Linked DNA regions of Nothobranchius furzeri. The protein of the gene in region 1 interacts with the protein of each later gene in a biochemical or structural test. Links are inferred from orthologs where the notes say so. Each region holds a gene or a part of one and is shown in the gene's direction. Other genes may lie near its edges.

Region 1 (4,466 bases):
AAAGTGTGTAGACTTATTTTCAATCATGCGGTTCTGTTTGAAAATCGATTAAATTAATTATGTTTTTAAAAAAATTATCTGACTTTTGTTTTCTATCTATCTATCTATCTATCTATCTATCTATCTATCTATCTATCTATCTATCTATCTATCTATCTATCTATCTATCTATCTATCTATCTATCTCTCTCTCTCTCTCTCTCTCTCTCTCTCTCTCTCTCTCTCTCTCTCTCTCTCTCTCTCTCTCTATCTATCTATCTATCTATCTATCTATCTATCTATCTATCTATCTATCTATCTATCTATCTATCTATCTATCTATCTATCTATCTATCTATCTATCTATCTATACTGAAGATAGTTCTTAATTACTTAGACTGGATATGTTTGGGGTCACCCACTTTGCATTTTGTAAATGATCCAAATAAACGACCATTACTAAATGACTGAAAGCATCCTTTGTTTACAGCCTTTAATCACCAGCCTGACCTGCCAGACACGTCCTCTGTTTACAGAGAGCTATACTTCCCACAAAGACGCATAGGCTGGCTGGTCAGGCTATTTTTTACACCTGCCTAAGGTAATTATATATATATATATATATATATATATATATATATATATATATTCGTTTCACCTGCAGAATGAATATATTCGTTATTAGGGATGTACCTGCTGGCCGAAACGTCACCGTGATAGAGTGTCACAGTTGATGCTCTGCCCGGTTATCTGATGCCTCCAGAGCCAGAGGCCTTTTCTGTCTTTTTTTTTTTGTCCTTTATCTCTCCAAGCCACGACTACAAACCCCCAAGGGAGTGGTGGCCGGCAATTTATTTATTTATTTATTTATTTAGTTAGTTAGTTAGTTAGTTAGTTAGTTAGTTAGTTAGTTTCCTTGTTGTCTATTAATTTAGTTATTCATTATCAGTTGACAGAGTCGCTCCTTCAGACAATTATCCATCCCGGAGCAAGGGGAAAACTCAATGTAGGTTCTGTGATCATAAACAAATGAGCAAATGATCACGTGATTTTATCAGGTTATTGTTTCATAATTGGGCTTAACTAGTGCCTCCTTTTCTCAAGAGAATATAATTTAAGCGCTGGGCTCAACCCGAGCTTTTGTTTATATCGTGAGAAAATAAAAAAATAAAAACACCTTAATGCAGCTCAGGCAGTACAGTCTGCTGCCTCACGTTGTTACAGGCCGTTGCGCTGTGTCTGTTTGCTTTTTTTCATGGCTTGCCCTCCACAAGACTATATAGCCCACGACAGCCAAATAATAATGAATCATTTCATAAATAATGGGTTTAGGGGCTTATCGCGAATGAAGAGGCCGCTGCCGCGCGCTTATCTCACTCGGCCACATTGCGGCCTGTGTTCCGCTCCCCTTACAGAGGGAGCGCACTGGATGCGGCGGGGAATAACTCAGCTGCGCGCGCACACACGCACACACACGCACACACACGCACACACACACACACACACACACACACACACACACACACACACACACACACACACTGCTTAACAACTGGCTGGGAAAAAAAGAAAAACCTCAGACATGGATGACCCACTCACAAAATGGCTCCACAGTAACATCAACACGACTGGAACGGTAAGTGCCAAAATCACCTACCCATATTTAAATCGTTCTATTTTCTACTCCAAGTGATGCAAAATATCTACTATCGGAGTCGATTTATTGGTCTAATAAGAGAAATTATCCGTCTTTTTTTCCTGCGATCGGATGAGAAGGAATAACGGAGACGAGGCCTGCGGGAGAATCCCCTAAAATAAAAGTGCGTCTTTTCTGGATAATTGGTTGTTCGATTTAAAAATACATTCCGATGACGTTTGTCTTCTAATCACTGAAGAAACACCTGGTTTTATTATAAGCTTCTGTGTTGTTTGGTTATAATAACATAAGCATTCCGGCCTTTATGGAAGAGAAAAGCAAAATGATGTTTAACTGTTTTCTTCTGTTGCTTATTTTTGGTATTCTGTAATTATTAAGGGCAGACATGAAAAGATTTCGACGCATAACGGTTTTACCAAGCTCTTCTGGTAGTAATGTTTGTGTGAGAGTCGAGGATCTGCTTTAAAATACATTTAAATAAACCCAAACGTATCTCTTTGATTAAAGGTAACTCTCATCTGAACGTATATAAAAAGCTAAACTGTATAAAAACGTTAAATATAAGTACAGAAAACACACAAATAGATGTAATAGATTACAAAAATGTTTTAAATGTGGTATTTTGTGTTAAAGTGATTTCTTCATTGTCAAATCTCTGTTCTATAATAATGAGTTAAGTGAGCTATTTAAACCTAAACACACATTCCTGTAGGAAAAATGCCTCTTTTGTTAATTTAGCAGCAAAAACACATTAACAAAATAAAATGCAGCAGTTATTTATTGGCATTTGTCAGATAATTAGAAATGTGTAAACCCGTTTAATCACACAATTTGTCCAGATGTAGCGGTTTTTCGGGAAAAAAGTCGATTAATTATTAATTTTTCCTCCAAAGACTCCCAAGGACATCAAACTGCTCATCATTTTCGACGTGTCTGCCACAAGTCATGTTCCGGCGATGAATTAATCGAGGGGCATTTTATTTAGGATACAGCGGGACTGCAATAGGGGCCACGGTTTCAAAATGATGGAAAAAAAGGAGCAGGAGCTTTGTCCTGGAAGTCCCGACGCAGGATCCGGCCCTGGAAGGCGCGAGGGCTCCGCCATCATCTCCAGACAGAACGGATACAAGAAGGACGAAGAGCCGCGGAGAGAAAAGAGGGAAGAAGAGAATGAGGATGATGATGAGGAGGAGGAAGAGGAGAAGGGGAGGGGGGGTTTCTTCAAAGGGGTTGAGGAGACGGATGACGTTCCGCTGCAGAACTCGAGCAACGGGACCAGCATCAGCATCATCATTAACGGCGTTGCCAAGGAAACTGCCCCTCACAACGCCCTAGACCTGAAAAGGGAAGTGCCGGTGATCGAGCTCTCCAGGAGGGACGCTATAAAGGCGGTGCAGCGCAGGACTGAAAGCCATTTGGTGCCGATCACGGAACTTCGCAGACCTCCACCGCTGCCGCTACCACCGCCGCAACGAGACGACGCTCGAATGGTCCAACTGAGCCCAAACGCGTTTCCTGTCCCGGCGCGGGCGATGCTCTACAACCTGGCGCAGCCTCTTGCCGCCATCAACAGGTCAGGGAGAGATTGGCTATCACGCATGCTCCGTGTAATTTAAGTTTTCACCTCTGAAGTTGGATTAATGTTGGGTCTGTGTGGCCTTTTAGGTGTGAAGTAAAAGACACCTGAGGTGTAGATATTTGGATAAATGCTGTTTTCTCTGATACAGATGCATGTGTGTGTGTGTGTGTGTGTGTGTGTGTGTGTGTGTGTGTGTGTGTGTGTGTGTGTGTGTGTGTGTGTGTGTGTGTGTTTATGGTGATTTTAAAATGCCCATATCCTCATATTTGTTTAAAACTTGTGCGCTTTCTTTTCCTGCAGTCTTGGAGGAGAGTCAGAGCAGTACAGCATGTACCCCAGCAACAGGGTAAAGCGCCGCCCGGCGCCTTATGAGGTTGAACTCGACGAGGGTAGGCGCATTTTAGATCTTTATAAGTATGGTAAGATGCACTTCTGCTGTGTCCTCCTTCTGCCAATAAAATGTCCCTTCTTCATCTCCATTGTCATTCATCCACTGACATGGACCAATGCAGCTTCTGCACTGAGTGTTGCAGAAGATGCTTTATTAAAAAAGAAAATGATCCAGCGAGGAATGAAGAATGCCATTTCTGGCACAAATTATTTCCGTTTGTAGCCAAATTCATATACCTTTATATCATTAAAACATACCTTTCTCAGGCAAATTGGAAGTAATTTTGATTTGGAACATTTCTAATTGTTTTGCTGCTGCCCACTCCCAGCCACAGGAGAGGAGGATGGGGGTGCTGCTGCCTCCATGCCAAGGTTTTGCTGCAGAGTGGGCTGAGGGATTAAGATAGACTGGGTGTGTTCCAGAGGAAACAATAGCCCCAAAGACACCATTACTGGGGGTGGGAAGATCTAACTACCTGCAGTGAAGCATTTTATTATGCCTGACAAAATACATTGTACAGAGAGTGCTCAGTGGGGTGAACACAACCCCCTCAGACCCCATGAATAAAAGATTTCTTGTGTAACGTCTGGAAACTTTATGCAAGATTTCTAATAACCCATGGCTGTATGGAGGACAGCTTTGCAACTTTTGCTTTAGAAAATGTTGTCACAAATGTTGTGCATCTGTTTTCTGTTGGCTTTTTGCACCTGCCACGTTTTCTGTAACAAGCTTTATCTGCAGTGTCCTTACTGTCTCTGTCCTCTTCCCTGTTTTCCATTTATTCTGACAGCTGGCCAGCCAAAGATTGTCCGCCGCATCTTCACAAACAGCCGCGAGCGATGGCGGCAGCAGAATGTAAA
Region 2 (4,433 bases), on another chromosome or scaffold:
GGGTGGGGTTTGAACGGGTGCGCTTTACCGACTTCCGGGGAGGTTTGTTACCAGAAGGCAAGACGAACGGTTCTCTACAGGGACTTGGCTCTCATCGTTCACTTTGAAAACCCGTTCAAAACATTCAATTAGTTTGTGAACGTCACATAACTACTGCTTCACCGATTGCCTGTATTGGCATGACAGCTGCCGTTTTGATAACACAAGTTCAAACAATTAATCCATTTGTTCAGTTAATAAAAACTTTTAATTTAAATGGACAACCATACATGTCTAACTCAAGTTTATAAGTTAACATAATGTAGAATTGTGTGTATGTTTAACAAGACAAAATGATTTTTCCACTTTGTAATCTAATAAGATTTGTTGTTTCGACTCATAATATAATATTCAAACAAAGTTATTATTTATGATATTTGTAAAACTTGACATATAGAGTTGAAAGTTTTCATTTAAGTTGACATGACTCAAGTTTTTAAGGCAGCTGTTGAACTTTCGTTTTTAAGTTATTCTGTCCTACAATTTATTACAGTGTACAGTTTGCTTCTGATCTTCATGCACTGTTTCTGACTGCTGGAACTAAAGCGCTTTATCTGTCCTCACAGTCCAACTGATGTGTGTGTCCCTCCCTCTTTTACCCTGCAGCTCTGGCACTAGATAAGACATGTCCACTGGCGCTTTGGTTTGAAAAGGAAAGTGTGCCAAAAACGACAAGAAATACATTTTATTATAGGGGTAAAAGATTAGTATATATATTTTTTTAATAAATCATATTTTTCATTCTAGAACGTTCTATAGTCATTCTAGACTCGTTAAGCTTTGCTGGCAAATTTCTGAAGAGAAAAATGTAAAAATCAGAACTTTAAATTTCACACATTATCTTTGAAGGGTAATGTTCCTCTTCACAGCGTCTGCGTAAATGTACGAGGTGTGCACATTATTTAAATTTGAACATTACATTTCCTTATTTAAAGCAGAAATTCAGCACATCTGTTTAATGTTGAGGAATGTGGCACAAAAATGCAGCACAAGCTCAATTTGAGATGATTCTAAATTTTCTTTATTCATTTATTTGCAAAACAGCAGGCCACATATTCTAGAACAAAACATAAGAATATATTTTTATTTGCCTTTGACATGAACAGTTTAGATGTTTTACTTGCATTAATTACAGACAAAGCAAAGGAAGACATGATGGGCAGATAAAACTACCAGCAGGTGTTTTTATCAGCTCAGCTCCTGCAGCAGATGGACTCATTAGTCAGTCACGACCATCACGACCCTCTGCACGACTCACAGACCAGCAGCTCTGCTGTCGCTTTAAGACCCGTTTCCCCTCATTGTGAAGCGCTGAAACAGGAAGAGAGAAGCGAAAGCAAAGCCCGAAGGGCCCCAATGTATTTAAACGCGCTGCTGCTGCAGCTGCTGGCCACTCGGACACGCACTACTTCCTCCCCGCAGAACCCTCCTTATCGAACCGCACTGGCGCGGTTCTTCTAGTCGCTGTGGGACCTGCAAGGCATGGAAGTGTTGCTGCCTCAGGAAATGATGACAGCGTCCTCCTCCATCGGCGTCTAGCTGATTAGAGAGGGAGCTGTTCTTGTTCTGCATCTGTTGGAAACAAGGGAGCTGCTTCTTGAGTTCGCTTTTTATTTCCAGCGATCTGAAAGTGGTTTTTACCAGGGGTGCAGGTGCAGCGCGCCTTCCAGTATCCAGATCAGGCTCGAGAATGACTTCTACCATAGAGAGGAAAACACTGGAAGCAAACGAGTAAGTCAACTAAAATAAACACATTCTATCAGAAAACTATCCCACGTGCAAGACGATGAGATCAGATGTTTCTGCTTATAATATTCATAAAGAAAATTTAAGGAAAAATTAAAGAAACGGATGTAAGGTAAAACTAAACTAAACTACATGTTTAGAGTCAGATGTTGCAGCCATAATGGGAACAGGAGTTGTAACATAAGTGTATTAAGGCACACTGTAAAGGCGTTGGACCAAGGTTGAAACTCGCTTTACACTGGGAATGCTGGCCAGAGCATTACTTAAAGCCCCTCAGAATATAAAGAAGATGAGTCATAATTGTAGTTGTGCGCCTGGCTTCTTTATTATAGCCCATAGGTTAGGACAAGTAAATCAGGATAGCAGTTGATAGACATGATAGCTCATGGGTGTGGTTTTCCTGCAGAATGACAAATATGACGTATGTATAACTTAACCTTATTAAACAATTAACACACATCAGAATATTAACCTTCCGCCACCACATCATCAGTTAATAACCATACTAAACAGTCAGAGGTCACTAAATCATCATCATCTGCTCACATAAAGCCACTATATTAAGGTTTGTCAAGTTAACCTTGACGTCGTCGGTCAACTTCCGGTCTGTAAACAAAAGAGTGCTTTTATTTTCCCGACTGGGTACTTCCGGTGGCGGGTTAGCTTAGCTCAGATACTCTGAACCAACTCCCATTCCCGCACTGTAACAACACCGCTGTACTTCTCTACATTCCCGTATACTCATACAAAGCACATTCATGCCTCCTCGTACGACACCAGCAGACCAGCGCCGATCGGTCCCGAGGGAAGGTATATCAACAGCGTTTTCACAGGGACAGGAAATGCATAATAATTAACTCGATAGCCATAATCAGTCCAACATTGCACTTACTGTTCATCCACGCACACACTCGACCATGTCCCGGTGCTATCCCCCAGGCAGCAACATATCGCAGAGAGGAACCCGGGACACAAACTAGAGCTACGTAAACCTCGAGAGATATGAACCTAAAGCCATTTTATCTCTATCTCTAGCTGGACTTCTGGAGCAGACTTCCGGCCAACTACAAAATAAGCGTAACAAAGGGAATGTTTTCCCAAAATGCAAGACTTTGAGGGCTTTTCTACAATAAGCCAAGATCAAAAATCCATTCATTTTTGTCTGCTTATCTTGGGTCAGGTCATGGGGGGTAGCAGCCCAACTAGAAAGTCCCAGACTTCCCTTTCTCCTGCCATTTGGGCCAGCTCTTCATGAGGAAGCCCAAGGTGTTTCCTGGCCAGACGAGAAACATAGTCCCTCCAGCGTGTCTTGGGTCTTCCTGTCTTGTAGTTGGATTTACCCAGAAAGCCTCACCAGGGAGGTGTCCAGGAGGCATCCTAACTAGATGCCTGAGCCACATCAACTGGATCCTCTTGATGTAGAGAAGCAGCGGATCTACTCCAAGCCCCTCCTGGATGACCGAGCTGCTCACCCCATCTCTAAAGACACCCTGCAGAGAAAACTAAATTCGGCTGCATGTATTCACAATCTCATACCCAGAGCTAGTGACCATAGGTGAGGGTTGGAACATAGATTGACCGGTAAATTGAGACGCTCAGCTTCCGGCTCAGCTCTCTCTTCACCACAACAGACCAGTACAACGCCCACGTCACAGCAGACGCAGCACCAGTCCACCTATTGATCTTGTCCTCCATCTTTCCCTCACTCATGAACAAGACCCTGAGACATGTAAACTCCTCCACTTTAAGCAGGACCTTGTCCCTGACCTGGAGAAGGCATTTACCTTTTTCCGGCTGAAGATCAACTGTTAAAAGATAGAAAAGAAATATTAAATATTACTTGCATATTTTAAAATAAATGTTTCAAAAGTTCTGGAAAAACATCTTCGTTGTTTGATCCGATCAAGTGTTTCAAGAATCCTTTTCACATTTTTAGTAGTAGCAACATATTATTTTTCATTTTTTTAAAGAAAATTCCTAAACAATATTCCTGATAGGTGTGTATGAGTCATATCTTACATCCTTTACTAACTCAGGACCAGTGGTGCTGCAAGATTGTCATGGGGTTCCAAGCAAACACTGCAGACTGGAAAGTGTGCTGCAGTTTATTTGAGCGTGGGAGTGGGGGGTGCACAGACAGAAATGTGTGGCAGAGCAGTGAGGGGGAGGAGGAGTGCCCTGTTGGGTAGTGTGAGACAGCCCAAGTTATGTCAAATTACAGCTTTTCACAGTCCCATAGAGCTCCGGGAGTTGACGTCACATCTCCCGGCATGCAACAGTTCAAATCGAAACGGCGCCATATTGGCATGCAGAAGCCGGCAGCTGGACTATTTGTTATTGTCAGAAAATTCAATCAAACGGGAAATATGGTAGATTCCTGTTGTGCCCCAGGATGCAGAACAGACGCGGACGACATAAGGAATGAGTCATCTACAGGATTCCCCAAGTTCCGGAGCGCCGCAAACGTTGGATCATTGTAATAAAACACGTTAGTGACCGGGATAAAATGAAGCTGTGGGATCCCGAGAGTAAAGGTTTTCGCTTATGCAGCGACCGCTTCATATCAGGTACTTAAACAACGTGTCCTCAACTGTGTATGGTATTTATTTTAAATGCTTTTATTACGATTCTTAGTGGGCTTCCTAAAC

What was found.
Region 2: the proteins of tal1 (region 1) and lmo2 form a complex in vitro, tested with the Homo sapiens proteins (2 studies listed by BioGRID). The link is inferred for Nothobranchius furzeri from reciprocal best matches to the Homo sapiens genes TAL1 and LMO2.

Annotation. Positions count from the first base shown.
Region 1 is NC_091751.1:54,506,120-54,510,585, reverse strand, and holds the start of tal1 (T-cell acute lymphocytic leukemia protein 1), read left to right. Parts: upstream 1-1,457; 5' UTR 1,458-1,565; coding exon of another isoform or gene 1,566-1,615; intron 1,616-2,529; 5' UTR 2,530-2,658; coding exon 2,659-3,209; intron 3,210-3,515; coding exon 3,516-3,634; intron 3,635-4,396; coding exon 4,397-4,466. UniProt on the Homo sapiens protein: Implicated in the genesis of hemopoietic malignancies. It may play an important role in hemopoietic differentiation. Serves as a positive regulator of erythroid differentiation.
Region 2 is NC_091744.1:61,982,852-61,987,284, forward strand, and holds the start of lmo2 (rhombotin-2), read left to right. Parts: upstream 1-1,583; 5' UTR 1,584-1,729; coding exon 1,730-1,770; intron 1,771-4,433. UniProt on the Homo sapiens protein: Acts with TAL1/SCL to regulate red blood cell development. Also acts with LDB1 to maintain erythroid precursors in an immature state.